3 linked regions of the Macaca mulatta genome follow. The protein of the gene in region 2 interacts with the protein of the main gene of each other region in a biochemical or structural test. Links are inferred from orthologs where the notes say so. Each region holds a gene or a part of one and is shown on either strand. Other genes may lie near its edges. The genes, in order: MAPK12, DLG1 and FRMPD4.

Evidence for each region.
Region 1: the proteins of DLG1 (region 2) and MAPK12 interact in a test that uses a peptide from one of them, tested with the Homo sapiens proteins (2 studies listed by IntAct, with this or other methods). The link is inferred for Macaca mulatta from reciprocal best matches to the Homo sapiens genes DLG1 and MAPK12.
Region 3: the proteins of DLG1 (region 2) and FRMPD4 interact in a test that uses a peptide from one of them, tested with the Homo sapiens proteins (2 studies listed by IntAct, with this or other methods). The link is inferred for Macaca mulatta from reciprocal best matches to the Homo sapiens genes DLG1 and FRMPD4.

Annotation. Positions count from the first base shown.
Region 1 is NC_133415.1:1,185,532-1,196,117, reverse strand, and holds the start of MAPK12 (mitogen-activated protein kinase 12), read right to left. Parts: upstream 9,636-10,586; 5' UTR 9,364-9,635; coding exon 9,239-9,363; intron 9,160-9,238; coding exon 9,030-9,159; intron 5,960-9,029; coding exon 5,901-5,959; intron 4,564-5,900; coding exon 4,452-4,563; intron 4,334-4,451; coding exon 4,235-4,333; intron 3,996-4,234; coding exon 3,948-3,995; intron 3,469-3,947; coding exon 3,354-3,468; intron 3,150-3,353; coding exon 3,078-3,149; intron 2,742-3,077; coding exon 2,662-2,741; intron 2,579-2,661; coding exon 2,500-2,578; intron 2,418-2,499; coding exon 2,244-2,417; intron 514-2,243; coding exon 434-513; 3' UTR 1-433. UniProt on the Homo sapiens protein: Serine/threonine kinase which acts as an essential component of the MAP kinase signal transduction pathway.
Region 2 is NC_133407.1:2,596,568-2,607,153, reverse strand, and holds the end of DLG1 (disks large homolog 1), read left to right. Parts: intron 1-7,734; coding exon 7,735-7,841; 3' UTR 7,842-8,592; downstream 8,593-10,586. UniProt on the Homo sapiens protein: Essential multidomain scaffolding protein required for normal development. Recruits channels, receptors and signaling molecules to discrete plasma membrane domains in polarized cells.
Region 3 is NC_133426.1:11,754,854-11,765,539, reverse strand, and holds the start of FRMPD4 (FERM and PDZ domain-containing protein 4), read right to left. Parts: upstream 5,473-10,686; 5' UTR 4,970-5,472; coding exon 4,929-4,969; intron 1-4,928. UniProt on the Homo sapiens protein: Positive regulator of dendritic spine morphogenesis and density. Required for the maintenance of excitatory synaptic transmission. Binds phosphatidylinositol 4,5-bisphosphate.

The sequences.
Region 1 (10,586 bases), on a different chromosome or scaffold from region 2:
AGGCAGGGGTGCAGGAAGGTCCAGTGACGTCGCCCAGGAGAAGGGATGTCCCTGAGTTGGTGCCCTGCGCCCACCCTCTGTTCTTCCTCCGCATGGCCCAGAGCAGGCAGGGCTCAGAGGCCAGGGCCTGACCTGGAGCCCCACCAGCTCCGAGGTTTCTGAGGGCACCGGGCAAGGGGGCCCCGGCTCCAGGCATCAGAGGCCATCCCCAGGTCGGCCAGAGGTCCTGTCCAGAAAGTTCAGGTGCTCCTCCAGGATGGGCACCCGAGAGCAGAGGCAGGGGCATGGGGAGGAGGGTCCATGGAACCCAGGGGTCTGCTCCGACGGATGCCTTGGGATGCAAGCCCCAGCCAAGGTCAAGGTGGCAACGAGGGTCCCCTCTCAGGTGGAAGGTGAAGGTGGTCCTCACTACCACCCTGGAGCTCAGAGATCTTCACAGAGCCGTCTCCTTGGAGACCCTGGCTCCCAGCTGCCGGGGAGGCTTGAAGCTGAGCACCTCTTTGTAAGTAACACCTGGCGGGGGCGGGGGGCACAACAGAAACCAGGGTCAGCCTTTGCCTTCCATCCTGGGGTGTCACTCACAGACACGCCTGGCGGTGCCTCGTGGGGCCCTTCTCTAATCCTAATGTGGTCCAAACTACTGAGAGAAGGTTTGTGTGAAGAGGCCATTGCTCTAGATCCGGATTTTCCAGGGAAAGGGGAGGTGGCCAGGGCTTGGCCACGTGTCCACCACGGTCTGTCCTAAGAGCTGAGGCCCCAGCTACAGTTGTGTGGGTGGAGACTACAGAGAGGATCCTATGGCCCATGGTTTTCAAGTTATCTTTTTAGCAGGAGAAACCTTTAATCAAAGCCAAACTCATAAGCACACAACTAAGCACACACAGCGAAGGGTGGAGGCCCTGCTGCAGGCACCCAGGGACCCGTGGCCCTAAGGAGCACAGGTGAAGAATCTCAGTCCATCCAGCCCCACCCAGCCAGTGTGGAGGACCAAGGCCCTGCGCCCAAGGCAGAGCCAGGACAGGGCCTGAAACACGGCACTGCTCCCAGTGTCCACCTGCTGTCCCCGGGCACCCCCACCACAGGTTGGTCATGCAGCCATGAAGAAGACACAGCCTGCCATTCTGGAGCAAAAATGAAGCCAGGTCCAGCATAGCCTCAGGCCACAGCATAGCTGTGGGAGCTGGGGAGGCTTCCCTGAGTTCAGCCTGAGGCTGCACAGGCCTTGGCCAGCCCTCCAAGATGAGGGGATAGCCCCTGGTATAGGGGATGATGGACCCTAGTAGTTAGGGTTGGGGTCTGGACTGCTCAGGGGGGCTGGGGGAGACAGGTGAGGCCCTGGGGACTATCTTGCGTATATAAGACATACATGTCTTGTCCAGATGGGAAGGATCCTAAAATGGACCAAAGAGAGGGCCGGGCGCGGTGGCTCACGCCTATAATCCCAGCACTTTGAGAGGCCGAGGTGGGCGGATCATGGGGTCAGGAGATCAAGACCATCCTGGCTAACACGGTGAAACCCTATTTCTACTAAAATTACAAAAAGTTAGCCGAGCGTGGTGGCGGGCACCTGTAGTCCCAGCTACTCGGGAGGCTAAGGCAGGAGAATGGCGTGAACCCGGGAGGCGGAGCTTGCAATGAGCCAAGATCATGCCACCACACTCCAGCCTGAGCAACAGAGCGAGACTGTCTCAAAAAAAAAAAAAAACACCTGGGGCAAGGAGAGGCAAGGACAGATTCACGAGATGTGAGGAGAGAGGCCTTAGGGACAAATGGACATGGTGAGGGTGGCACGGTGGCCCGGGTCTCTGGCCTGGACATGGCGGAAGGGCAGCAGGTCTGGGGCCAGGAGGGGCTCAGTGGGCCCTGCTGCCCGGACTCACAGCTGCCCTTCACCGTTCCCGGCTCCTTCTGTGCCAGCCTCTGTGCTGAGCCTGCCAGGAACACCCTCCTTTCATCTTTCAGCTCCAGCCAGAGGTCATTTCCACCAGGCCACGCGGCCCCATGCTGCCCTCTGACCTCCCATTCTCCTCACCTGACCTGCATCCCAGGGACGGGGATTTAGGACTCGGAGCCTGGCTACCTGCACAGGGCCCACAGGGTCCACACAGGCCCTGCCCGAAGCCCGCCACCCACGGGTCCACACAGGCCCTGCCCAGAGCCCCCCCACTCACAGGTCCACACAGGCCCTGCCCAGAGCCCCCAACTCGGGTCCACACAGGCCCTGCCCGGAGCCCCCAGCTCACGCTTCCATTCATCCAGCGTGCGGTCCACGTCATCAAAGGAGTCGTCATACTTCTGGACCTGGGGCTCATCTTCCGTGTCGTGCAGGGACTCGAAGTAGGGATGGGCCAGTGCCTCGGCTGCCGTCACCCGCTGCTCCGCATCCAGCACCAGCATCTTCTCCAGGAGGTTCACAGCTGCGGGGGAAGGTGCGTCAGGCCAGACTGCGGGAAGCCCCACACTCCAGCACCTGGTGGCCCCCACACTAGCCAGCCCTACCTAGAGGGCTTGCATTGGTCAGGATGGAGGCAAAATCCTTCTTCTCCAACTCAGGGAGGCCCTTCATGTAGTTCTTGGCCTATGTGGAAAGAAAGGGTGAGGGGCCAACACCGAGGCCCGGGTCCGCCCCCACCCCCACCCAGCTCCCCACTCACCACTGACCTCATCACTCTGCAGCCGCTGCACAAACTCAGCTGGAGGCGTCCCTGTCACTTTCATGATCTCCTTCAGCTGGTCCAGGTCTGCACTGAGGTCAGGAGCACAGCTCGGGGGGCCAGAGATCAGGGCCCTCACTGCCCCCACCTGGGCAGGAGCCATCCCCAACCCCCAGAACCCCCCACCTGCGCAGGAGCCATCCCCACCCCCTCAGAACCCCCCATCTGGGCAGGAGCCATCCCCAACCCCAGAACCCCCCACCTGGGCAGGAGCCATCCTCAACCCCCAGAACCCCCCACCTGGGCAGGAGCCATCCCCAACCCCAGAACCCCCCACCTGGGCAGGAGCCATCCCCACCCCCCCAGAACCCCCCACCTGGGCAGGAGCCATCCCCACCCGCCCCTGGTGCTGCTGGAGGATACGGTCGCTGCCTTTGAACAGCGTCTTGCCTGTGATCATCTCCGCCATGATGCACCCCACAGACCAGATGTCCACTGAGATAAAAGCCATGGTCAGCCCCGTGGGCAGGGGGACGGGATGAGATGGGGAGGGAGGAAACACAGACACAGCCCACCCACCCGGCTCCCACCCCAGCTCAACAGCCTCCCTGGGGAGCAGCCACCACAGGGCTCTCAGTGAAGAAGTAGAGAAGCAGATGGAGCAGCCCGAGAGGCCCAAATCTCTAGGCAGCTTCTCACCCGTCTGCGTGTAGCGCATCCAATTCAAGATGACCTCGGGTGCCCGGTACCACCGGGTCACCACATAGCCAGTCATCTCGCTGTCTGCCTGCCTGGCCAGGCCAAAGTCCAGGATCTGCGGGAAGAATCGGGGAGGTGGGTTCTAGGGGACTCCCAAGGAGCGGACAGGCCACCCATGGTCCAGGAGACCCCAGCGGGGTTGGACTCGAAGCCCCAAGCTGGGGCCTCCTGACAACCTTTGAGGACTTGAGGCCAAGCCCTCAGACCCCAAACTGTGCAAGCTCCTCCCTTTGGCCAGTGCACCGAGCCCAGCTGCCCTTGGGATGGAGCAGGGGCCCTGGGGCTCCCCTCTCCCTGCTGTCACCTGCTGCCCACCAAAGCCTCAGCCCTGTCCTGGACCAGGCAGGGGCCTGGGGGCGCCTCCCACCCTCACCCGCTGCAGGTATGGCATGTGGCATACCACTGCCTCCTGGGGCTCACCCACCCACCAGCTCCTCAGCCACTGCCCAGAGCCTGGGGCCTTGGCCCCCTGCCCAGGCCTGACAGGTGGATTGGTGGGCAGATCCGGAGGGGCCCCTGCCAGGCGGCACACACCTTCAGCTCACAGTCTTCGTTCACAGCCAGGTTGCCAGGCTTCAGGTCCTGGGGACAGAGGAAAGGTGGCCACTGTGCCCCACCCTCCCGAGCATGGACACAGCCAAGAGCCTGGGTGGCACCTAAAAATGGGGCCACCAGACCTGGCCCCCTTGCTCCCTGCAGCCCTTCAAGGACAGACCCAGGTACCTGGGCATCCAGGCAGGCTCCCACCAGGGGCTGTGCCTGAGGCGTGGCTCAGCACCCCCAGACCCCGTCAGCCCCCCCAGACCCTGTCAGACCCTCACAGGTAGGACGTGGAGGCGGGGGATTGCGCTGGGGGAGGGCTGATGGGTGGCTCCTCCACCAGGACTCACTCTGTGGATGATGCCGGCAGCATGGATATACTGCGGGGACAGAAGATTCGGCAGGTTTCAGCGTACCAGGGCCTCAGAGCCACAGGGCCCTCCTCTGCCCAGCCCCGAGGCCCTGCCTGCCTCCCTGCAGCCTCCCCTGGGGCCATACCCTCAGCCCCTTCAGCATCTGGTACACGAGGAACTGGATCCGGTCCTCGCCCAGCTTCTCATGTTTCATGAGCTTGCCCAGGTCGGTGCCCATGAATGGCATCACCAGGTAACTGTGGGAGGGGCCGGAGCACCATCAGTGGGCAGAGCCAGCCTCTGCATCCCAGAGGCCTACCCAGCAGGCCCAGGCTCAGACCCATCCGGGATCCAGCAGGTGGCCCCGGGAAGGTTACCCTGCAGCACCCGTCTCCACTAGCCTCGGCATCCTCACAACCCCACCTTGCAGTGCCAGGCTCCATCCTGCCCCAACTGTCACTGCCAGCAACGCTCACACCTCCCTCCCACTCTGAGGACTGTCAGACAGGCAGGAGGCTGCCCTTTGGGGTTTTTGTTTTTGCTTTTTTTGAGATGGAGTCTAGCTCTGTCCCCCAGGCTGGAGTGCAGTGGCTGGATCTCAGCTCACTGCAAGCTCCGCCTCCCGAGTTCATGCCATTCTCCTGCCTCAGCCTCAGCCTGGGACTACAGGCGCCCACCACCTCGCCTGGCTAGTTTTTTGTATTTTTTAGTAGAGACGGGGTTTCACCGTGTTAGCCAGGATGGTCTCGATCTCCTGACCTCGTGATCCGCCCGTCTCGGCCTCCCAAAGTGCTGGGATTACAGGCTTGAGCCACCGCCCCGGCCTCCCTTTGGGGTTTTTGAACCCTCTGCTAAAGCGCCCTGCGTGCCAGGCTGGGGCTGAGGCTGCAGGGCTCGAGTCTTCACAGGCAGGGGAGGGAGGCAGTCAGGATTCAACCTCGGAACTTTGTGCCAGAGATGAGGGAGGTGCCTGGGGGCGATGGGGGCAAGGCAAGGCATCTGGGTCAGAGGGGCTGGCTGAGCCGGTGGAGACGGACACAGGAGAATGGTATTTAGCACCTCCCCAGAGGCCACTGAGGCCAGCGTGGGTCCTTGACCTCTGCAAGTCAGGCGGGAGACATCTGCTACCCTCTCCAGGCCTTCCTCAGCCTGGCCCTTCACTCTTGGCCGACAAGGTGTGAGTCCCGGGGTGGTCGGCTGCAGGGCAAGGGCAGGGTGGGTCCTCCCTACCGCTTCTCCCCCACCTGCTGGGAAAGGTCAGCAGCTCCAGTTACCGGCCACACACTTGGTGCCAGGGTCCCGAGCACGGGACCTTCCTGTTAACTAATGGTCAGGTCCAAGGTTCACACCTCCGGTGCCGGAGAGCCCAGGTGCCAGGCGTGAAGGGAGGCAGCAGCCCCAGCTCTGCCCAGCTGTGGGTCCCAGGACCATGTGGGGGAGGGTGTGGGGCAGAGTAGTATGGGGGGGGTTGGCAGTGTGCATCCCCCACTCAGGCTACAGGAAGAGAACCCCATGCCAACCTGGAACCTGAAGCCAGTGCCCAGAGCTGCCCACCACCCCTTGTGCCCAGCAGCCAGCCCAGGTCGGCACTCACAAGTCTGTGAAGTCATCCAGGGTCTCATCAGGAGTGAACACATCCAGCAGCCCAATCACCTGGGGGGCCAGGTAGGGTTGAGAGTGCAGCGGAGGACACGGGCTGGGGCCCCCCCCAAGAGTGGCACAGCCCTCTGGGCAGGAAACCCCCTCTGCAGCTGTCGTCATGCCCCACTGTCCAAAGGGCCTGGCTCTGCCCACTGGCAGCGTGGCCCAGCCCTGGCACACATACCCACAGACAGGTTATTTTTGGATGGTGACAGCCGGGATCTTCTGGGGGAAGGGCAACCCGGAGTCTGGGCTGGCTCTGAACCATCCAAAGGGCTCCTACCACTTGCCCCTTTCTCCCCTCTTCTCCCCAACCAAGCAGACTGACACCCAGGGAAGGGATAGTGCTATGAGGAGAGGCCAGGCCTCTGCTGGTGAGGCCCAGGTGGACAGCACCATGACCCGCCAGACCTGGTCCCCACAGCACCCCTGGTTGGGGAGATGGACAGTGGACAGGTCATGTGATAACTGCTGCCTCAGCATTTTGGGGTGACAGGGTCCCAGGGAGGCCCGGAGAAGTTCTGCACAGCCAAGGATGGAGGGGCAGGTAGACATGTGGGCTGCGGGACACCCGGCAGAGGGCACATGCAGAGTGGCCAAGGCAAGAGGGAGAACACTTGGGAGAGTTTGAGGAACACAGGGAGGGAGGCCAGGTGGCCAAGGCCCAGGCCAGGGAGGGGCTGAGGAGAGGCCAGAGGGAGCCGGCAGGGCAGCACACACCAGGTGAAAGTTTGGCTTTGATCCCAAGAGACAGGGAAGGATTTAAATGGGTGTGATGCTAAACGCGTCCTGCTGGCCGTGGTGTAGGGACTGGCCAGAGTGAAGCAAGAATGGACCTAAACTGGAAGGACAGCTCTGCCAGAGCCATGGGCAAGAATGTGGAGGGAGGAGGAGAAGGAACAGAGGCCCGTCCAGGGAGGCCTGGGAACAGTGGGGTCTGTGGACACGACAGCTGGAGGGTGCCCAGGAGAGCGCTTTGGCAGAAGATGGAAAGCAGGGTCCTGTGGGCTAGGGGCCATAGGACTTGGCTTGGCCTCTGTGGTGTGGGGGCTGGCCTGGAGAGGGAGGTGGCATGGGGATGGCAGGACTGGGGCCTGTGGCAGAGCCTCCTCCCCCGCTGAGCAAGGCATGTGGCCTCACAGAGCTTCAGTCTTCCAGGAAGATGGGGTTCCAGGGAAGGAGCCTCAGCTGCAGGCCGGGAGCCCAGGGGGTGGACCCCCAGGCACAGCGGGGACCCCAGGACAGCAGGGCGGTGGCTAAAGAAAAGCCCAGCGCGGTGGGTCACGGCTGCACTCCCAGCAATTTGGGAGGCGAAGGCAGGCGGATCACGAGGTCAGGAGTTCAAGACCAGCCTGGCCAACATAGTGAAACTCTGTCTCTACTAAAAATACAAAAAGTTAGCCGGGTGTGGTGGTGGGTGCCTAGAGTCACAGCTACTAGAGAGGCTGAGGCAGGAGAATTGTGTGAACCCAGGAGGTGGAGGTCACAGATCGCGCCATTGCACTCCAGCCTGGGCGACAGAGGGAGACCCCATCTCAAAAAAGAGAAGCCCCAGTGGACGGGCGCGGTGGTTCAGGCCTGTAATCTCAGCACTTTGGGAGGCCGAGGCAGGCGGATCACTCGAGGTCAGGGGTTTGAGACCAGTCTGCCCAAAATAATGAAACACCGTCTCTACTAAAAATACAAAGCATTAGCCAGGCATGGTGGCATGGACCTGTAATCCCAGCTACTCAGGAGGCTGAGGCAGGAGAATCACTTGAACCCAGGAGGCAAAGGTTGTGGTGAGCCGAGATCATGCCATTGCACTCCAGCCTGGGCAACAAGAGCGAAACTCCATCTCAAAAGAAAAAAAAAAAGAAGAAAGAAAAGCCCCAGAGCACTTGGCTGGATGGGGCAAGGCCCAAGCAGGTGAGTGAGTGGGTGGGTGGGGGCAGGGGGCCGAGGGGAAGGCTACAGTCCTGGGGCAAGGTCTCGGTGTGACGGGCGGGATGGGGGAGTGCAGTGGTGGCAAGGTGGGGGCAGGGCCGGGTGTGACGGGGGTGTCGAGGTGGGGGCAAGGTTGGTGTCCACCGCAAACAGATTTCACAGGGCCCGGGGTGGTGAGCTGGGGTCAGGGTGGGCTATGGGAAGCCTCAGAGAAAAGGACCCACCCAAGGGGCTGAGAGAGTGGCGGTGGCCAGGAACCAGGGGGCGGGTGGTTTGCTGGTGGACGCAGGGACTCATTCTCCCAGGGCACCGGTGGCTCGGATGACCCAGGAGGGTCCAGAGCATCTCACACTGGAGCTAGGGTCCGGGCGCCCAGGCCACCTGCCTTCAGGCTGGGCCCAGACCAGGGGCAGGGCAGGAGTGACATGGGGGGCAGTGGACAAGTGGGACTGTGTCCAGAAACCAGAGGGCCCCTGGCAGAGAAGTCCGGCTCTTCGCAGCCAGCCACTCCGTGGGAGAGGCCCAGGGCAGCTGTGCATGGCATCTCACAGGCAGGACTGGAAAGGATGGGCCCCCACAACGAAAGGGAGGGTGTCTGTGAGATGACCACCACGCCCAGTGCCCCCCAAACAGCAGCTCCCTGAACCCTTCACTCACCCCCAGGGTTCACCATACTCCCTACGTTCTGGCGCCCCCCTCCTCCCCCTCCACCGGGTCGGAAGACTCGGGAGATGGACAGCAACAAAGTGGGCTCCACAGAGGGGCTGGAGAGGGGCCCGGATGGGAAAGAGAAGGTGCCCCTTCCAGGAAAATCCTCCTGCCGGGAGCATCCTCTCACCGCGGGCTTCCTGGCTGGGGGCAGGGTTTGGCGTGAGACCTGGAGGATCCCCTGGGCCTGGCCAAGTCGTGTCCCCTGACCAGGGCCTGGCTGAGACGCCAAGTCAAGGGGCTCTTTCCCGGGCCTGGCAGAGGAGGGGGAATGGCCCTTGGGGGAGTCGTCTCCTTGCTCTCCTTCTCCCCTGGGGGCCCACGGCCCGACCCCCGCCCCGCCCCACAGCAGGTTGCCTGGGGAAGGGGTTGCCGGGTGGAGGGACCCAGCCCAGCCGAACCCAGCCGAGGCCGGGGCGCCTTCCCGGAGCGGGGTCGCGCGACTCACGTTCTCGTGGCGCATGTGCTTGAGCAGGCGCAGCTCGCGGTAGGCGCGCTTGGCGAACAGCTCCGACTGGAAGGGCCGGTACAGCTTCTTGATGGCCACCTTAGCGCCGGTGCGGCTGTCCACGGCCGAGCTGCGGGGCGGACCGCTTAGCGGGAAGGCCGGGCACCCCGCGCAGGCCCCGCCCGCCCCGCCGGCCGCCCCGCGCTCACCACACCGCGCCATAGGCGCCCGAGCCCACGGGCTGCAGGTCCCGGTACACGGCGCGCACCTCCCAGGCCGTCTTAGTCACCTCCTGGCGGTAAAAGCCACTGCGGGCAGGCGGCGGAGAGCTCATGGCAGGCCCGGGAGCCGCCCACCCCGCAGAGCCCGCGGGCGGTGCCCCAGGACCGGGGACCTGGGATCGGCGGGGCTTCCTCGGCGTGCGCCCCGGGCCGACTCCGCGCTGCTCGCCCGCCCGCCGCTGGGACGCTCCTGTTCCCGGCCCTTCCCTCGGGGATGTCCCAGGTGCCGACCCTGGCCCGACCCCGACCCAGGCAGCGCACGGCCCCTCCCCCGCCCGGGGACCAACCGGCCCGCGGGCGGCGCGCACGTGACGCCCTCGCCCGCCCTCCGGCCCCTCCGGAAACCCGAGGCGGCCGCCGCCGGGGGAGGGCCGGAGCCTGGGGGGAAGCGCAGGGGGAGGGGAGCGCCGCCCCGCAGCTTTGTTCCGACCTAGGGCCGGACGCGGCGCGGAGATACCCCTGTCAGCCTCTCCCCTTTGGCTGAACTGCCCCGCTCTGGGGGTGGAGCCGGGGGAGTGGGGAGCTCCTGCTGAGACCCTGGGCTCCAGTCCTGACTGCCCATGGTTCCAGGGCGCAGGGCCCATCCTTGACAGCCTGAGCGCTGACTTCTATCGGCAGTCCCAAGTTGGGCTGAGCCCTGTGTACCTAGAGTCAACTTCCCACGCCACCCCCAAGGATGCCCTACCTCTGCGCCTGATCCATCCATCCCCGAATGGGGGGTCCATCTGCACCTGTCTTGCCTGTATCCCTCTTTCTACACGGAGGGGTCTGTCTCCCAAAATCCTCAGGCTGCATCCCCAACCCCACCCCTGTGGCCACTGACCCCGGGCCTCTCAGTCCCATAGGTCCCCGAGGGCCCTTTTGGACACCCAACTCCTCCCCCTGCTCCCCCCATCTGCGGGGTGACTGCTGCAAGTGTTGCAAGTGCTGGTGCCCCTGCCCGTCCCATCCCTGCCTGTCCTGTCCTGCAAAACCCAGGCTGAGGGTGGCTGCACTGTCTCCAGCAGGGATGGGGACCTGCTGGGGCCCTCAGCCTGACCCCTCTGTGTGGGCATTATCCTCCCATATGTCTGGCCCCATCCTAGACCAGATGCTCTGGTGGGCGAAGCCCCACCCTGACACCCCCACCGCAGTCCAGAAACCTGGGTCTGAGGAGGGATGTGGGTGCACCCCGGGAGCCCACTGGGCTGGTGGGTAACAGGATCGCTAGGGCCCTCTGCCCCGCCCTCCGGCCATGAATCAGCAGCTCAGCCGCTCAAGGGCGGGAGGAGCTTTA
Region 2 (10,586 bases):
TCGCCCAAGCAGAGTGCAGTGGTGTGACTCGGCTCCCTGCAACCTCTGCCTCCCAGGCTCAAGTGATTCTCCTGCCTTAGCCTCCTGAGTAGCTGGGACTACAGGCATGCACCACCATGCCTGGCTAATTTTGTATTTTAAGTAGAGACGGGGTTTCACCATGTTGGCCAGGCTCGTCTTGAACTCCTGACCTCAGGTGACCCACCTGCCTCAGCCTCCCAAAGTGCTGGGATTACAGGAGTGAACCACCATGCCCTGCCAGGAATCTTGACATTCAATGTTTCTTAGGTTATTGATTAGAACAGCAAAAACAGGAATAATTCATACTTGACCAGGGAAAAAGAGATTTAGATTTCATTTATTCTATGAAACTCATGATTTTTCTCTTATCCTTTATAAATTTTGATCCATTTTCTCTAGCCATGTTGAGGTATAATTGACAAAATGTATATATATTCACGGCATATAATGTGATGTGATAAACGTATACATTGTAAATTGATTAACACAATCAAGTTAACATGTCTTTCACCATACAGTTACCATTTTGTGTGTGTAGGGAAGATGCTTAATACTCTTTATTAACAATAGTCACTATTGCTGTAGATTAGATCCCCAGAATTTACTCATCTTATAACTGAAAGTTTGTACCCTTTCACCAACATCTCCCCATTTCTTCTACTCTGCAGTCCCTGGAAACCACCTGTGTTTCAATGAGTTCTACTTTTTTAGATTCCACGTAGAAATGAAATACAGTATTTGCTTTGCTGTGTCTGGCTTATTTCATGTAGCATCAGGTCCTCCACATTCACTCATGTTGGTTGTTGCAGATGATAGGATTTTCATTTTTATGGCCTAATAAAATATTCCATTGTTGTATATATACCATATACACACATACATATATAGATACGTGTATTTGTTGTTTCTTGTTGTTAGTTTTTTCTTTTTTTGTTGTTTTTTTTTTTTGTTTTTGAGACGGATTCTAGTTCTGTCGCCCAGGCTAGAGTGCAGTGGCGCAATCTCAGCTCACTGCAAGCTCCACCTCCCGGGTTCACACCATTCTCCTGGCGCAGCCTCCCGAGTAGCTGGGACCACAGTTGCCCACCACCACGCCCGGCTAATTTTTTGTATTTTTAGTAGAGACGGGGTTTCACTGTGATCTCGATCTCCTGACCTCGTGATCCGCCCGCCTCGGCCTCCCAAAGTGCTGGGATTACAGGCGTGAGCCACCGCGCCCGGCTTCTCTTTTTTTTTTTTGAGACAGAGTCTCACTCTGTTGCCCAGGCTGGAGTGCAGTGGCGCGATCTTGGCTCATTGCAAGCTCCGCCCCCCGGGTTCACGGCATTCTCCTGCCTCAGCCTCCCGAGTGACTGGGACTACAGGCGCCGCCACCACGCCCTGCTAATTTTTTGTATTTGTTAGTAGAGACGGGGTTTCACTGTGTTAGCCAGGATGGTCTCGACTCCTGACCTCGTGATCCACCTGCCTCAGCCTCCCCAAGTGCTGGGATTGCAGGCATGAGCCACCACGCCCGGCCTGTTTTTGGTTTTTTTGTTCATTTCTGAGACAGGGTCTTGTTCTTGCCCAGGCTGGAGTACAGTGCCGTGATCATGGCTCACCGCAGGCTCAACCTCCTGGGGTCAAGCAATTCTCCCTCTTCAGCTTCCTTAGTAGCCGGGACTACAGGCGTGCAGCACCACACCTGGCTAATTTTTTATTTGTAGAGACAGGGTCTCACTATGTTGCTTAGGCTGGTCTCAAACTCTTAGGCTCAAGCAATTGTCCTTCCTCAGCCTCCCAGAGTGCTTGGATTATAGGTGCACTGCACCTGGCCTACAATACTTTCTTTATTCATTCAACTTTTTTTTTTTTTTTTTTTTTTTTTTTGAGATGGAGTTTTGCTCTTGCTGCTCAGGCTGGAGTGCAGTGGCGTGATCTCAGCTCACCACAACCTCCCAGGTTCAAGCAATTCTCCTGCCTCAGCCTCCTGAGTAGCTGGGATTACAGGCATGTGCTACCACGCCCGGCTAATTTTGTATTTTTAGTAGAGACAGGGTTTCACCATGTTGGTCAGGCTGGTCTCAAACTCCTGACCTCAGGTGATCTGCCCGCCTCGGCCTCCCAAAGTGCTGGGATTACAGGCGTGAGCCACCGGGCCTGGCTCATTCATCTTTTGAGAGACTCTTAGGTTATTTTCCTATCTTGGCTATTGTTGATTATGTTGCAGTGGACATAGGACTGCAGATTTCTCTTCAACATACCCATTTCTTTTCCTTTGGGTTTGTTGTTGTTGGCTTTTTGTTTGTTTGTTTTTATTGTTTTGTTTTGAGACAGTCTCGCTCTGTTGCCCAGGCTGGAATGCAGTGGTGTGATCTCGGCTCACTGCAACTGTCGCGTCCTGGGTTCAGCTGATTCTCCTGCCTTAGCCTCCCAAGTAGTGGGGACTAGAGGCACATGCCACCACACCCAGCTAATTTTTGTATTTTTAGTAGAGACAGGGTTGGCCAGGCTGGTCTCAAACTCCTGACCTCAAGTGATCCGCCTGCCTCAGCCTCCCAAAGTGCTGGAATTACAGGCGTGAGCCACCACGCCTGGCCCAATTTCCTTTCCTTTGGATATATATACCCAGTAGTGGGATTGCTAGGTCATATAATAGTTCAGTCTTTAATTTTTTGAGGTGACCGGGCACGGTGGCTCATGCCTGTAATCCCAGCATTTTGGGAGGTCAAGGTGGGCGGATCACCTGAGGTTGGGAGTCCGAGACCAGCCTGACCAACATGGAGAAACCCCCATCTCTACTAAAAATACAAAATTAGCCAGGTGTGGTGGTGCATGCTTGTAATGCCAACTACTTGGCAGGCTGGGGCAGGAGAATTGCTTGAACCCAGGAGGCGGAGGTTGCGGTGAGCCGAGATCACGCCATTTTACTCCAACCTAGGCAACAAGAGCGAAACTCCGTCTCAAAAAAAAAAATTTTTTTTCGAGAAATGTCCACACTGTTTTCTATGATGGCTTTACTCATTTACATTCTATGATGGCTTTACTCATTTACATTCTATGATGGCTTTACTCATTTACATTCCACCAACAGTGTATGGGGTTCCCTTTTCTCCATGCCATTGCCTACTTGTTATCTCTTATCTTTTTGATAACAGCCATCCAACCAGGTCTAAGGGGATATTTCATTATGGGGTGTGTGTGTGTGTGTGTGTGTGTGTGTGTGTGTGTGTGTGTGTGTGTGTGTGTGTGTGTGTGTGTGTGTGTGTGTGTGTGTGTGTCTTGCTGTGTGTGTGTGTGTGTGTGTGTGTGTGTGTGTGTGTGTCAGTCTTGCTGTGTCACCCAGGCTGTGGTGTGTGTGTGTGTGTCAGTCTTGCTGTGTCACCCAGGCTGTGGTGTGTGCGTGTGTGTGTGTGTGTGTGTGTCAGTCTTGCTGTGTCACCCAGGCTGTGGTGTGTGTGTGTGTGTGTGTGTGTGTGTGTGTCAGTCTTGCTGTGTCACCCAGGCTGTGGTGTGTGTGTGTGTGTGTGTGTGTCAGTCTTGCTGTGTCACCCAGGCTGTGGCATGATCTCAGCTCACTGCAACCTCTGCCTCCTGGGTTCAAGTGATTCTCGTGCCTCAGCCTCCTGAATAGCTGGGATTACAGGCACGCACCACCACACTCGGCTAATTTTTGTGTTTTTAGTAGAGACAGGGTTTTGCCATGTTGGCCAGCCTGGTCTCAAACTCCTGGCCTCAAGTATCCACCCACCTCAGCCTCCCAAAGTGTTAGGATGGCAGGCGTGAGCCGCTGCGCCCGGCCTCATGATTTTGATTTCTATTCCTCTGATGACTAAAGAGGTTGAGCACTTTTACTGATACCTGTTGGCCATCTGTATGTCTTCTTTGGATAAATATCTATTCCAGTCCTTTGCCCGTTTTTAAAATGGATTGTTTGGTATTTTGCTAATGAGTTTCTTATATATTTTGGATATTAACCCCTTATCAACTGCATGGTTTAGAAATATTTTCTCCTCTTCCATAGGTTGCCTTTTCATTTTGTTGATTGTTCCTTTGCTGTGTAGATTTTTTATTTGATGTCCCACTTGATGATTTTTTTATTTTGCTGCTTGTACTTTCCAAAAATCATCCAAGACCAGTGTCAAGGAGCTTTTTTCCCTGTTTTCTTCTAGGAGTTTTATGGTTTCTGGTTTTACATTTAAGTATTTAATCTATTTCAAGTTAATTTTGTGTAAGATAAGGGTTTAATTTCATTCTCTTGCATGTGGATATCCAGATTTTCCAACACCATGTATTTAAAACACTAGCCTTTCCCCATTGTGTGTTCTTGGCCCCTTGTCAAAGATTAGTTGCCCTTTGATCCGTTTTGAAATACTATTTGTTTAAAAAAAAAAAAAGAGTAGGTAGCAATTCCCCAATATTCTTTTCTTACTCAGTTTGTCCTTTAACTGACTCCTCAAGTCTTTGGACATTTTTGTTGTTGTTACTTGTTTGTTTGAAATAATATCAGCCTAAATTTGACATTCACAGTGAGTATCAGTAAGGGTCATGGTTTTTGTAAGCCTTGTGCTTTCTTATTTTTTTCAAACTAATTTCAGACTTAAATAGAAGTTAGAAGAATAGTACAGGGAGTCTCATGTACCCTTCACCCAAATTCCTCAAGTGTTAACATTTTACCACATTTATAATTTTTTCTGAAGCACTTGAGGGTAAGTTTCAGGTAGATGCCCCTTTACTTCCAAATATTTCAGTGTGTATTTTCCAAAAAACAGGGATATGCCCTTATATAATCATAGTTTTATTACCAAAATCAGGAAATTTAATAATTATGTCTCATCTAACTATAGATCTTATTATTATTTCACTATTCTTCTAATCTCTTTAGAGCAAAATGGGAACAAAATGGTTTTTCTGTTCCAGTGCAAGATGCAGTTCAGGCTCACGTGTTCCAGTGAATTACACATCTTTAACGTTCTTTAATCTGAAATAGTTCCCAAGTCTTGTCACTCATGACCTTGACTGACATTTTTTAAGAGTAAAAACTAGGGGGGTTTTTTGTTGTTTTTTCTGTTTCGTTTGTTTTGTTTTGTTTTTTGAGCCAGGGTCTCACTCTGTCGCCCAGGCTGGAGTGCAGTGGTGCAATCTCAGTTCACCGGAGCCTCCACCTCCCAGGCTCAAGTGATCCTCCTACCTCCGCCTCCCAAGGAGCTGGGACTACAGGCTGCAGCCAACATGCCCGGCTAATTTTTGTATTTTTTGTAGAGACAGGATTCCGCCATGTTGCCCAGGCTGGTCTGTAACTCCTCTGATCCGCCCACCTTCACCTTGGCCTCCCGCAGTGGTGGGATTACAGGCGTGAGCCACCGCACCTGGCCCAGGCTGGTCTGTGACTCCTCTGATCCGCCCACCTTCACCTTGGCCTCCCGTGGTGGTGGGATTACAGGCGTGAGCCACTGCACCTGGCCCAGGCTGGTCTGTAACTCCTCTGATCCGCCCACCTTCACCTTGGCCTCCCACAGTGGTGGATTACAGGCGTGAGCCACTGCACGTGGCCCAGGCTGGTCTGTAACTCCTCTGATCCGCCCACCTTCACCTTGGCCTCCCACAGTGGTGGATTACAGGCGTGAGCCACTGCACCTGGCCCAGGCTGGTCTGTAACTCCTCTGATCCGCCCACCTTCACCTTGGCCTCCCACAGTGGTGGATTACAGGCGTGAGCCACTGCACCTGGCCCAGGCTGGTCTGTAACTCCTCTGATCCGCCCACCTTCACCTTGGCCTCCCACAGTGGTGGATTACAGGCGTGAGCCACTGCACCTGGCCCAGGCTGGTCTGTAACTCCTCTGATCCGCCCACCTTCACCTTGGCCTCCCGCAGTGGTGGATTACAGGCGTGAGCCACCGCACCTGGCCAGAGACCCACTCTTTTATAAAATGTCCTCCCTCAATTTGGATTTATCTGACGTTTTCTCATAATTAGATTTAGGTTGTGCATTTGGGGCAGGAATAGCAGTGAAGTAATGATGTATCCTCTGTGTGTCATACAAGGAGGTTTACGGTCTGCTTGTGCCGTTGCTTGTTATGCTAATTTTAATCACATGGTTAAGGTGTCTGCAGCCTTATGCTCTCCCAGTTTCTTCCCAAGGAGTATCCTGGTTTACTAACCATGCCATTCATGAATTTACAAAGTAAGCAAAATATATATTTCCCAAGTCAATTCCTGACTCTTTTCTCCTAAAATAAATCCTTGCGTGCTGTTGTCAACCTAAACTATGAAATGCTCTGGGATTCTGTCCTGTGCTGTTGGAGTGCATCAAGATGCCAAACCCACAAACCAAGTATTTTGTCAATTGAACTGAGTCTTCAGGGACACTGAGGCATGTCTGTATTTAGTTCAAAAGGTAGAAGTCTCACAAAACTGATACTAGCGAATATTATGTTACTTAAAATTCTTGTTTACTCAGGCATTCCTAGCTACGTATAAGCCCTTCTTACCTATATATAACTTCTTTCTTCTATGCACATAATCTCGGGTACCAAATAGACAGTATTATTTAAAACCTCCCTTCGACATTTTATGCTCAGTTTTTCAGACCATGGAAATCTACACCTATGATGCTCTTCCAAGATCACTGGGGATTTTTTTGTAGTTTAATAAGTGACTTATTTAATTTGCAATTCTGAATTATTTCATTTATATGTAAACTTCTTTTGTGAGAAACAGGGTTTCACTTTGTCACCCAGGCAAATGGTACGATCCAATGGTACGATCATAGCTCACTGCAGATGTGAACTCTGGGCTCGAGAAATCGTCCTGCTCCCTCAGCCTCCCGCGTAGCCAGGACCACAGGCACACACCACCATGCCCGGCTCATTTTTTTTTTTTTTTTTTTTTTTTGGACACAGTGTCTCACTATGTTCCCCAGGCTGATCTCAAACTCCTAGCCTCAAGCAACCCTCCACTTCAGCCTCCCAAAGTGCTGGGATTGCAGGCATGAGCCACCATGCCCAGCCATAAACATTTTCTTTCCTCTTAAAAAGTGACTCATGCTTAGTGCTGTCTAGCGATACTTTGTTTTTGTTTGTTTGCTTGCTTGCTTTGTTAACTGACCCTCATCCCTCACAGACCTCAGGGGCTTCAGCTATTTCCAAAGAATTACTTATTAGTAATTGTTACTCTTTTTTTCACACATTATTTCAGGCAGCAAATAAACATTGATTGTTAAGTCTCTAAACACTAACAAGCTGGCTGAGGTAATTCACCTACTCTACAGTAACTGACGTGCCAGCTTAACTGAAACAAGTAGCATCAATCTGTAGCCAGCTCTTTTCTGCCACGATCCTACCCCAAAAAAATAAAACAAAACATTATCCTGCATCATCCTGTCTGTGGGATTGTAGCCAGTTTCCTTTGTCCTACATGGTGATGGAGAAATCAGGACAGTTAAGAAAATAATTTGTTTTAAAATAATAAAGCTAATATATGCTCAGATGGTAAAAGAACAAAAGATCACCAAATCTTACTTTTTGATCCATTTTTAAGATAAAAATTGTATACTGTACAGGTAGGAAAATTAATGAAGTGAGCCGTTTTTTCTAAGTGAACAGTGCGTAAATGGTGATTCTTCCTGGATGAGTAACTTTCTCAAAGATATTCGTTTCTGCTATTTCACCAATAATTGTAATGACAAAATAGACAATTAATGGAGATTTCTGATTTTGTTTCTATCGTTACAGCTATTGTACAGGGAGATACGCTGGAAGACATTTACAACCAAGTGAAACAGATCATAGAAGAACAGTCTGGTTCTTACATCTGGGTTCCAGCAAAAGAAAAGTTATGAAAACTCATGTTTCTCTATTTCTCTTTTCCACAATTCCATTTTCTTTGACATCTCTTTGCCCTTTCCTCTGGAGTCTTTTTTCAATAATGATTTCATGTTGAATTATATCCCACATCATGGTCTGCAGGTGCGCTTATTTTTTTACATGTAGTGTCTCCTTCAAGTTACATCATGTGTATTATTTAATGTCACTATTGGTTAGTGGCCATTTTTCACAACTGAAGATGGAATGGCCTGACCAGCTATTAAGAATTTGGGGAGACGCAGAAATTGTGGTAAAATTCCTTAATGTTTAAGGGAAAGTAACTTTAAGAGATTTTTGGAAAAGCTTTATATACATTCTTTTCAAATTTCAGTACAAATGAAAAAGTGGTTTTAATCAGTGATTTAGTAGACTTTGAGCAACTATGCACGCTTAAGTTTAATAGCATGGTTTGGCCAGTGTGTTACTCTCAAGTCCTGTTCTCAGTCAGCTTCTATCATCAAAGCAATTGTTTCATTATAGATAAATAAGGAAGACATGTTTTAATTTAAAAATTCATGTCTGAGTTAACTTTCATAAGGGATTTCATTTTTCCTAAGCATTCTTAAAGTCTTTTATTATTTGAAGGTTCTTTTTTCCCAGTACATTTGCTAGGAATAACAACGTTTTAATGTTTTTAATCTACTTGAGCAACACTATCGTGTCTTACAAAAGTTGTTCATATGTAAATGATCATCACATTCTGTGAATCGAGGCCATGTTCAGGTGCTAAGGAAGTTCGCCTTTTACACAGAAGGTTGAGAAAATTTCCTAGATATAAATACAGATAAATCAGACATTACAGTGGTGATGTAGAAACCATAATGGCAATGGAAAGGAGTCCAGTTCATAGCCTAAAACTTAAAAATGTATTCTTAGGAGTCAGATTTTACTGAATATTTTACCCACAATAGCTGCCTATTTTGTTATAATAAAATATATATAAATATATATATAAAACTTTCTTTAAACTCTGTAACTATGGGAATTATTTTCTTTACATAGTTGCGCACACACACAAACATATATATATATATATTTAAAATATATTTTGTTTCTTTTGCCACCTACTCCTAACTTTTTGTTTGGTTTTTAAATTAAATATTAATTGAATAGACTTACCTTCCTTAATCCTGTGAACTGAAAATGGGGGCATGGTGATCATGAGGAGAAACATTTAGGGAAATTAGATTATAAGTAAAAGTATGGGCGTATTCTCCTCTTTTCTACAAAAGTTTTCAAATGGTTCCTGGGGTTTTGTTGTTGTTCTTCTTGTTGTTATTGTTGTTCTTGTCATCAGGTTTGATTCTGGTCCTTGCCCTTTCCTTCTAGTTCTCCTTTTATTAATAGGAAGGCAGGCAAAAGCCCCATTTATGTGTGTTTCCCCTCAGACAGCTTCATCCACTGCTCTGCACTAGAATTACACAAATCTTCATGGTGAGCAATTTTAAGAAATTTTAGTGAAAGGTAGAAATTATTTCAGAAATCAGTTTCTCTGGTCCTTTATATTAATAATAATATTTGGCTTCCCATTGCTCTTTGGAGTTGTTTATTAAATATGTGTTTTTGACAACCTCCTCATTACAGTTTCTTAAAGAAATGAGTACTGGTTTGTAAAGAATTATCAACATTATCCATTCCATTTATGAAGAAGAGGAGAACAGCTAATAAACTGTATTGTAAAATCCATATGTTAAATGTGTCTTGAATTTTGAAAGAAAAAAATATTTTGCAAGCTAACATTTTCTTGAAACAATTTGAGGCATCATGTAATTTATAACTGAATTCAAGAGCCATTAGGCAACAGAGTATGTTAACACATTGAAATACACACAGTATTGCTGTTACACTAAATATTGTAGGTTGTTAACAAAATAGAAATATACTAGAAGAAAACTATTGTAAAATCTCAAGAGCTTCAGAAATTGCCTTACAAGACCCCAGCATAAGCTGTTTTGAAGTATTTACCAAATAGTCACATGTTGTAAAATATCAAGTGGGTTATAAAAGGATGCCATTTATGTATTAAAATCTACACAACATTGTTTTCTGGATGTCCTTGTTAAGTGATTTTTTTGTAAGAATATATGATTGTGCAGCTTTCTAGCTTGTACAGGATTATCAATAATGAGATTACTAATTGCTGAGTATTATGCAATAGCCACTTTAGTATCACTTTAGTATCTTGTTTTTTGTTTTTGTTTTGTTTTGTTTTTGTGGGGTTTTTTTTTGTTTGTTTTTTTTGTTTTGAGACGAAGTCTTGCTCTGTCACCCAAGCTGGAGTGCACTGGCTTGATCTTGGCTCACTGCAACCTCTGGCACCCGAGTTTAAGCGATTCTCCTGCCTCAGCCTCCGAACTAGCTGGGATTACAGGCGCCCACCACCACACCCGGCTAATTTTTGTATATTTAGTAGAGACGGGGTTTCAGCATCTTGATCAGGCTGGTCTTGAACTCCTGACCTTGTGATCCACCCCCTCGGCCTCCCAAAGTGCTTACAGGCATGAGCCACTGCACCCGGCCCATACCTCTTAATTAAAAAAAAAAAAAGAGAAGGTGGTGTTACTCGCCCCACTATAAGGTTTACATTAAATCACTTGCCCAAGATGACTTAGCTAGTAAGTGGCAGTGCTTAGTATTTGGATCCAAGCCTCTCTGCCCCAAGTCTACATTCTTTCCAATACACTTGGCTGCCTCATTTTTCGCCCCGTACTGTGTAAAGA
Region 3 (10,686 bases), on a different chromosome or scaffold from region 2:
CACCCATTCTTTTTCCATCCATTTTGAACTGGATGTTTATGGAAGGCAAACATCACCCTAACAAGCAACTCTCCAGCTCCCCAAAAATATCATGTCAACTTAGTGACCAAAGAATAAGCATGCATACTTTTTCCAAGTGCAACAAATTAGTAGAACAATTATGTCCACTTCTAACGGTCAGTTTCCAATAGTTCAAGAAGTAATTTGAGATCAGAAGTTTCAATAAAGATAAGGTCTATATTAATTGGTAATGTGCATTAGTGAATTCAAGTATTTATTATAATATACTCAATTTGACATGCGTGTGCCCACATGTGTGCTGATAACGATAAAGAAGAGAAAACAGGAAAAGGCATTGTTTAACCCAGGCAGGGGTCAGTTAACTTTTTCTGTAAAGAGCCAGAGAGTAAACATTTTAGGCTTTGTGGGCCATAAGGTCTCTGTGGCATCTATTCAACTTTGCTGTTGTCAGGCAAATGCAGCCATAGATAATACCTACATGAATGGACACGTGTTCCAATAAAACTTTATTTATGGACACTGAAATTTTAATTTCATATTATTCTTTTTTTGATATTTTTGAACCATTTGAAAATAAAGAAACTATATTTTGCTCACAGGCTATGCCATAACAGTCAGCAAGCCAGATTTGGCTCATAGGCCACAATGTGCCAACCTCTGTTTTAGCCTATTCATGATGTTCTTTTCCTGCTATGATTAGCTTTCAAGATTCAAGATCATTTGATGGTAATGGTGGTAGATTTCAGGATGGTATGCTTCAACAAAGGTTTTAAACGGTCTTGAGTTTTCTTACTGAGCCAAGTGTGAAACCAGTGGTTTCAAGTTCATTCCTTAAAGATACATTTCTAGTTCACCAATAATGTACATTCTCTTACAGCTAAACTTCCATGGTTAACCTCAAATGAAATAAAAAAGACTAAAGTTGAACAGTGTATGTGTATGTAAAGGGAGAGAATGAACAGCTGGAAGGACCATAAGCAGAAAGTGAGACTTTCCAGGTCATGCATTTAAAGTACAAGTAAGTTTCACTGCAGCTGTCAGTCTGTACCAAGTTCTGATAGCAAGAAGGTAAAACTTGCTTGCCCCAGACAATGAGAGAGAGAGAGAGAGAGAGAGAGAGAGAGAGAGAGAGAGAGAGAGAGAGAGATATGCTTGGAATGGAACAAAGCCTGACCTAGACGCCTTCTTCCCAGAACTGTGAGCGACTAGACTTTCACAGCTTCAAACTAGCAACCCTTGGGAAACTAGAGTTAAATATTCCTAAAACAGGAATCTAGTTCTGTTACGAAACTGTTCATTGTTTCACCTCCTGACAGCCACAAAAATCAGCAGAACTTAGAAAGGACTCAGAAGATGAGCAAGTAGCATTTTTAATAAAATTCAAATCCAGAGTCTTTGGGGGTTTTTCATTGCTAGCCTCCAGAGCTCACTATTATCAGCAATATTAATACAATTACTCAGTAAAAATAGCAGATACGGGAAAACCCTGACCTTTTGCACTACTTCTTTAACTTCCCCTTTTCCCTAGAAAATATTTAATTCTGAATAAGATAAAGGTAAAAGACAGAAGTTTAGTAGTATCTAAATGGATTTGACATAAAAATCTAAGGAAACTATACATATGTATTTTATATGTTTCCTCAAATATAAGATACTTGTAAGAAAATTAGTATTCTTTACTATGACAGATATTAGTCACTGCTATATACCACAAAATAACCCATGCAACTACAAGAAAATGCAAAATAAAGCATCCCCCAAATTTACCTACTACTGTAAGAAATCATCATATCAACAGTGGGGACTCAACCATTATCATCAAGTCTACCATTTTGCTTAAAGAAAAGAAGTCAAATCAGGGACTCTATCTATGAACATATCACTCAATTTAATAACATCCCTATGAGTTTTGGATCTCAAATCATCTCCCTCAGGCAAAAGGGGCATAATCATATGTTTTTCTACTGGGCTGCATTCTTCTATAAACATTTGAAAGAGTGCATCTGCTTTACAAATAAAATAGTCAATGCAAAGAGCAGTAACAATAAAAATATATGCCTGTTTTTATACTATTACTGGTTTATAAAGCAATCATCTGTAATGCTCTCATCTACAAGGATGGAAAATGATATAGAACTGTTACCAAGGAAACAGTGAAGTAAAACTGCATGTAAACTATCAAGCAGTTTAAGAACCAGAAAATTAGAAGAACGGAAAAAACCATCTTCAGATAGAACCATGACACACTGTGCCACCCACGAAGGATGCAATCAAGGGTCATAACTCTTACTGATGATGTAAAGGGTCCCAACTACTTGCCAGGAATTCTAACACTTGGCAGCAATTTGTTTTAATGGTAATGGGTTATTGAGGGGCAATGTGAATTCTGATTTTTCCCACGATTAAAAGGGCATAGAGTCTGGAAACAAATAGTTAAATGTAGACACTCTAAAAAGTCAAAATATGCAATTTATTTATTCCAGTGTCGATTAATATTCTCTTGGAATTCTCTGTAATTACACTGTCTGTACTCACAGATAGGACACTAAGCAAATATCACTTCCAAGATATGCCTTCTGAATTAACATTTAGAAACTCGAGTTTGTAGGAACCAAAGGCAAGGCCAGGACCCAGGGTAACTACATGTGTTTGCCTCTAAACCAAGAGAATTTTAAGCACTCAAGTAACCATGCTGATCAAAGCTAAATCCTTTAGGAAGATTATCCATTCTGAAATCAGGAAAATCCTGCAGTATAAGCACTTTTATACTTCACCTTTGAGAAAAGAACTTGATTTCTGTAACAGTGTTTAAAACGCATACAAGACTTTCTTCCTCCCAAGGCAGAAACAAGCAACTGCAAACATGTGTTTTTACGTGCTGATGACCCTCTAAAGGTATTTCTATCTCAGCTTGGGGACCATCCTTGAGCTCACACTAAGGAAAAAGAAGAATTATATGGATGGAAGATTTCTTAATCGGCACATCAGCTCAGAACATTTGCACCTTCTGTCTTTAGAATAAACACTCTACTGGATCACATTAAGGATAGAAAGTGAAACTCACATTCATTTACTAAATTTTAAACTCTTTTAAATAAGATACCACTCTCCCCACAACCTTGCTTGAGTTTTGCAAAAACTCAGATTTGTGAATATCATGTAGGCATCCTAGAATTTAGTAAAAAGAATATGAAACATCTTTTCACTGACACATGACACTGTGCTCTCCGAAGTTCCTAAGTTTAAGGACTAAACCAAGGCTCTAGATGTTTTGTTAAACTGTTTTTAGCATCTGAGGCCACAAAAAAGTATCCTGGTTACTTTGAACTATACTATTGGTTGAACTTCCCTTTCCCTTTAGCAGTAGCTCTGTCCATCACACAGAGGGTTCCACTCAGTCTCTAAACTTGCCCACAGCTGCTTCCCAACCATGGTTCATTATTTGACAGCTGTTTAGAAACTAGCCCTAGGCAGAAGCATGCAGGAAGTTAATAGAATAGTGGTGTGAAGCAATGGCCCTCTATGAGATCAGCTTGAAAGCAAATAATTTGCCACACCACAATCATCCACTGCTTAACACATCAGTCTTCCAATCTGTAGGACAACACCTCTTCCTGAGCTGCTCTAAGACCTATCAACGGTGTATCTCCAGTCTACTTAGAGTAAGTTGCACTGGGCCTTTCTCCCTGGGGAAATCTGCTAGTGGCATGAAGACCGGCCCATATTAGTAGAAAGGGAAGGTGGAGATGGGCAGGCAGAACAAAGACTGTAGATGTCAGAGAGAATGGCAACATCCAAACATAACCTTTCTGAAGTGGTCTAAATGTAATTTAACAAAGCAAAGTCAACATACGTTTCTACCTCGGACGATTGGAAGCTGCTCATCCCTGCCTGATGCAATCAACACATCTCACTCTGACACTCAGGACTGAAGGAAAACCTGGGATTGTTCTGTCCATATTGCAAGTAAGTTTTTAAGCTACATCCTGGAAAAACCCAACTGTCTACCTCCTACGTCCTGGTGGTAGCTGCTATAAAGAGCTCCAGGGGCAGAGAAGGTTGGGCATGGTTTTCTAAGACTGCTCCTATCGGGCTCTTCCCAGTTAATGTCACATAGCAAGAAGCACAGACCTTACTCTGTGGCTCAAATGAACACTTTGGAAGCATAAGCAGGCAGAAGACCTCGAGGAGTGCTCTGGCCAGGCAACACCTAGGCGGCCCAAGCGTGGAAATGTTCCTCCTTTATCAGTACTACGCAAAAATATCCGAATCGATGATTTAGTTTTAGCTACTGTTTTAACAACATGGCCACTTAGAAGAAAATTTCTAAATCTTTCGAGGCTTAAGAATATAGTCACACACACACACAAAGAAAAAGGCTGAAAGTCTTTCTCTTCTATCTCCATGACCTCATCATTTAGGTTACCATTGGGAGCACCTGGTCAACCTAGGCGCTAACTCTGTGGAGGTGTGGAGGTGTAATTTAGGAGTGGGGGGAAGGCGGCACTTTTGGTCTCTGCAGCTTGGAAGGCAGGCACCTAAGCTCCAAGCACTTCTGGGTTTCCCTAGCAGTAGCAATTACAACCACCTTCTCTTAGCCCTGAATGATACATGGGACCCCAAGCACCAGTGGGGCTTTTCCTTAGGGAAAACAAATGGTTGTGAATATCGGTGTGTTGGTGAGGGCATGTATGTACCTCTCTGTGTGTGGTCTACACCCGTGGCTACACAAGCCTCAGCAGCCAGTGAGAAATAAGTTGAATGTGTCAGCCCCCGGCCACTTCGTTTCAGTCTTAAGCCCCGTCGCGCTTTCCGGCTTTTGCCTCTACCCAGCCTCCCGAAAAATAAGGCACCAAGTTGCCCGCAGCAGCGGCCCTAGGTGCAAACGGAACCCGCGCAGCCCCTACCTCGAAAGCTTTGCAATCTTCACAAAGCTGAAGACATCCATGCAGGCAGCTGGGGACCCCCGAGCGCGACAACTCCGTCGCCCCTTCTCACGCCAGCAACAACAGCAGCCTCCGCAGCCCCATGGCCAAGACCTCAGTGCGCCCAGGGCTCCAGTCGCGGCGACAGCGGGTGGCGGCGGGGGCCGGAGAGAACCTGCACCTGGAGGCGGCGGCTGCTACCACCCTCCGGCCGCGAGCTGCGTGTGCATCCCCGAGCAGGACCATTGATGAGCACCCGCGGCAGGAAAACTCAATGGAGAGGGAGCCAGGCAGGGCGCAAGAGGCGGGGGCTGGGAGCGCGGCCCGGGTCTCGCGCCCCGCCCCGTGCGCTCTGGCCCCGGGTACTGCCGGGCGTCTAGAGAAAGCGAGGCCCGGGCGAGAGGCGCTGCTCTGGCTTCCCGGCCCTCGGACCCCAGTGCCCCGCGCACCAAGGAGCGCAGACGGAGCCGGGAAACGGGAGACAGCAGGCGAGCTGGGCACACGCGCACGCACCCCTCGCAGCACTGCAGCTGCCTCCCTGCCTCCTTCTCCAAGCCGAGTCCCTGCTCCTCTCCCCACCCCCACCAGCCCAGGGGGAGGGGGCACTCTCCTGTCACCCACTGCGTGTGCCTCCAGATCTGAAGGATCTGGTCTAACAGTCTATGGCACACTGGAGAACTGTGAACGCTAACCCTCCCTCCCCAAGCCGAAGGAGAACCGTGCAACCGCAGGTTGCCCAAAGCCTCGGTTTGCTCCGTAAACAAAACTAGCGATCGGAAGGAGCAGGGATGATAGAGGCTGGGTCGTTTGTCAAGGGGAAGGGAAGGGAGATGCCCGGCGCAGCGGGCTCGATTGGGGGAGCGCAGAGTTCCCACTGCTTCTCCCGAACCGCTGGGGCGAGACGTGACCACTGGGCTGGCTGGGAAGGTGTGTCTTTGGACAGCAGCACCGCGGGAGTGTCGGCCAAATAAGAACCGGAGGCATTTGCGGGTAGGGGGATGAACACAGCTGCTCCCTCCTCCAGGAGCATAGAGCAGAAGGTCCCAGGAGCCTGTGATGCAGAGGCTAATTCTAACCGGGCTCGGAATCTAAGGGAAGAGAAGGATTAGAATGGGGTCTGGCACGCAGAGCGAGCTGCTTTTGCAAACTGAGCGGTGGGAGAAGGGAACAAGGAAGAAAAAAAAAAAACAAAACAAAACCTAACAAAACCTTGCCTGAGAAGCAAAAACACAGAAACATAAACACTCACCTTAGGCAGAGTAAACTCCAAGTTGCAGCCATCTAGAACTCCTCCTAGCCTTCTCTTTTACATGATTACCTTGGATAATCAGCCCTGTTCATTAACTCAGTTCTACCTCCTGGGAAGCTCAGGCTTCATTGGGCCCCTTTTTCTTCTTCCTCTTGGAGTCTCAAGGCCTCTTGTCCACAATCCTTTAAAATTTCCCCCCAGACTGTGAAGGTCAGCTGGCCGCACTAAGTGTGTGCTCTCCCACCAGCAGCGTTCACCTGGCGGCAGGGCCACTGCAAAGAACAGAGAGCACCCCCAGAAATGTTGGAAGATCCAGCCAGTGTTCCAGTCTAGCTCTCCGAGGGGATTAAGTAAGAAATGGGTTTAAAGTTCCCACACTTCTGCTCCTCTCCTGGTCTGTTGTTATATTTAAAGTCTTCAGTATTCAAGCCTAGTACTAACGCGTTTTTTTTTAAGCATTTATTTCAAAAACTGAACATAAAATAAATAGCAATCTGCAAAATCTAACTGACTTAAAACTCAGGCATAAAATTATATTTTTTTGAATACATACTTATCAATTTTCCTGCAGCTTCTTTTAAATAGGCTAGTTTAATTGCATGAACGCAGTTACTACTCAAGGATCAGAAGAGGTGGGAGGGACCTTGGCTTTTGAACTCTGTTGTTTGTAAAATAATTATAGTTTGGATCTGCACTATGCTTTATAATTTTTAAAGCATTTTTTTTGCATTAGAGTCTCATAGCAACCCTGTCATATAAGTAAGGCAATACGTTTAGAAGAGAAATCTTTTATTTTTATGCCATAATCTATTCTCAACATACCAGACAAAAATGTGTGTGTGTGTCTGTGTGTTTTTTAACGTAGATCACATAATGTTACTTGTCTGATGTAAACTATGCAAAAGCTCTGCATTCTCGTCAAGCTGAAGTTGCACTCCTGCTAGGACCAATAAGACCCTACATCCCTTATCCTTTGATCTTTCTTACCTCAACTATTACTGCCCACTTCCCTCTCCCCTTTTTCCCCCGTCCCTCCTCATCCCCCACCCCAAGGCCCCCCTCCCTCACACACACACATACACTCACTGGGCTCCAGAAATTTTGGCCTCCTTGCTGTTCTTCAAACTCTACAGGTAATCTTCCCACTTTAGGATCTTTGCAATGGTTGTTCCCTCGGCCTGTAATGCTCTTTCCAGGAATATCTGCATGGCTGACTTCTCCACCCTGTCAAATCTATGCACCAATACCACTTCCAAAAATCCCCCTCTAAAAAGCCTATTTAAAATTGCAAAAGGCTCTCACATCCTGGACTCCAAGTGCCTATTAACTGTTTTATTCTTTTTTCTTGTTTCCATAGCACTTATCACCCACTAGCACACTATATAATTTATTTTTATCTTTAGGATTTCTTTCCTTTTTTTTTTTTTTTTTTTTTGTTTTTTTTGTTTTTGGTCTGAATCTCCCACTGGAGCTCCACAAGGGCTGGGATTTTTGTTTTGTTTTTGTTTTTCACTGATGGATCCCAAATGCCTAGACCACTTCCCCAGATGTAGAAGGAACTTAAGAAATATTTGTCGAATGAACAAATCGTATGCCCATTGGATTCACAGCCCAACCAAAGCTGGCCAAGCATCCCCAGTGAGTACTGATCTCTGTATGACTTCATGGCTTACGTCTGTCTCTCTCCCCACCCATCTACTTCCCCAGCATCCTTCAACCTCCTTTGGACTGACTGTTAATGATGGCAACAAAGGCCTTCTTAGATTCTCCAGTTATTTTCCCCCTTCACCTTTTCTACCTTTCCCCCAAGAGAGTGGCAACTGACACGTTCCCTCATCTCCGAGTCAACATCTGGCAGCACAAAACCAGCTCATGATTGGGAAAAGGAGATAAAAACAGTGCCTTTGGAGAATGTGTTTTGAAAAAGTTCTTCCTTCTGAGAACAGAACAGTTGGGATGCTCTTTTTAAAAGGATTACCCTATTTATCAATAATTATTCCAGATACCAAATAGCTAATTATTCAACAGTGAAAGTGACAGGAAATAGACATTGTGTTTACTTCTAGAGAGACAGCCTCCCTTCGAGACATCTGGTCTACCTGGAACAGCTTGCTGTTGGCCTTCTCCCTGTGCCAATTTGTACACTACAGTTATGAATGGTGCAGATGCCATCTCTCCACAGCATAATAGCTACCAAGGGAAATGACTGACTTCTCCAGGTCTTTACACATCTCTCATATAGTAATTATCTAGTATGTTTTCTAATGGATTGATATTGTTTTCTAAAACAAAGAGATTCCACCCCTCCTCCTTTGTTTCTCATTAATATAGCAATGGAAAAAGCTGCTCCCTTGAAACATGCTAACACAGAGTGTTTATATCTTTAAGCCATCTTGGCAGAAGGACGGAGATTGGAGTAGTTGGTCTCTCAGCTCTGTCCCCTCTCTGTGCCAGGTGTGTGCTGCAGAGGTTAGGATAGGTTTGCCTAGCATGAACTAGATCTGCCTAAAACAAATAAAAGCCAAAAAAGTGGGATCCTGAGTACATATGTGGTTTTCTGAAGTTTTCATATTAACCTGGATAATCTCTAAGGCCCCTTCTAGATCTTGTAGGGGTTTACTAGTTGGAAACTTAATCTACTTAATTTGCTTCACTTAGGTTCAAGTGACCTTTGGTCATTTCTGAAAACCAGACACTTTCAAACACTGTTGAAAGTACTCATGAACAAAAGATTCAGGCTCACCAGATCCAGAGCAAGTCCTATAACTTCTCTGAGACTCAGTTTCCTCAGCTGTAAAATGGAAATAATACATCTTTACCTTACACAAAATGAGCACTTGAAGTTGGCACCAGTTTACAGTTGGCTACATATGAGTTGAGGCACATGAATGTTAGCTCTAGAAGGATTTCTACAGCTGTCTGCAGCCTTGGCAGTACTGGTAGGAAAAGTTTCAGCCTATAAAATGACTATTTAGGAGGCCCAACATTTGCTTGGATTAATCAGAGGTGGGCGCTTTTGCCTAAAAATCAAACACTTTGTTGCCTGGGCAGTTACTAAAGCCCTAAGCTGTAATATCTTTTATGCCCCAGGGGATTATCAGGGGGAAGTGTGAGGAACTTCTTCATCATTGTTAAGGCCTTATCTAAAGCTGGTGTTAGGAATCTGCTATTGGGCCAGATGTTCCATATAGGTTGGCAGCTGAGGGTTCTTTTGCTGCAAATTACAGTAGAGAGAGCCCCAAGCATGTCTCAGCTGGACTGTAGCATCTCGACCATCTGGTCTCAGTCCTGAAAACAGAAGTAAATAAATAACAGCAAGGTATTCATTCAATCAGCAAATATTTATGGAGTGTTTCCCATGTACCAGGCACCATTGTAGGCACTGGGAAGTAGACTAGGCAACGAGGCAAGTTTCTGCTCTCATAGAACTTATAAAGAGGAGGTAGATGATAAACAACAAAATCAGAAATTGCAGTCAACAAGAAAATAGCAGATAGCAATGTGCAGAGAATTAAAATTCTTCTGATAGAAAGGGAGTGGCTAGGTGGCTATTTGTTATTCAGTGGTTCAGGAAGACTTCTATAAGGAGGTAACATTTAAACAGATATGAAGAATCTCATGGAGGCTATAGAGGCTGCCACACAAAATTCATATGGGAGAGTATTCCATGCAAAAGGAACGGCAAGGATAAAACAAGGATGTAGTCCTTGAGGCAGGAACAATGATTGTATGTTTGAAGAATCAGAAGGCAGCCAGTGTGACTGAAGAGTAATGCATTAAATGAAGTGAGAGTGAGTGAATTTGCAGGGGCAAGAAAGGTGAGATCACATGGGGCACAGTAGGCCAGTGTCAGCTGTCTGGCTGGTATAATGAGATGGGAGGCCATGTGAGGATTTTTAGCATGGAAGTGGCCAAATCTGACTTACGTTTTGAATGACCACTCTTGAGGAAGTGAGTGTGAGGGCAGGGAAATTACTGATTTAGGAGCCTGTTGCAAGAATCCAGACAAGAGCTGGCAGCAGCTCAGAGAGGACATGACAAGGAGGTGGTGAAAAGTAGCCAGGCTTAAGATATGTTTTGAACAGGAACAGTTGATGGGTTAGATGTAAGAGGTGGGGAAAGAGAGGAATAAGGGAAAAACTCATTTATTTTTATTATTTACGAAATACCCTGGTTTGGTCAGGCATGGTGGCTCATGCCTGTAATCCCAGCAGTTTGGGAGGCTGAGGTGGGAGGATCACTTGAGCCCAGGACTTTGAGGCTGCATTGAGCTCTGATTATGCTACTGTACTCCAGCCTGGGGAACAGAGTGAGACCCTATATGAAAAAAATAAAGAGAAGAAAAGAAGTGCCCTGCTTCCCTTCCCTAGATATAGAACATAAAAAAACCAGAAGGGTTTGGCTGGGTGCAGTGGCTCAGGCCTGAAATCCCAGCACTTTGGAAGGCTGACGTGGGAAAATTGCTTGTTACCAGGAGTTTGAGACCAGCCT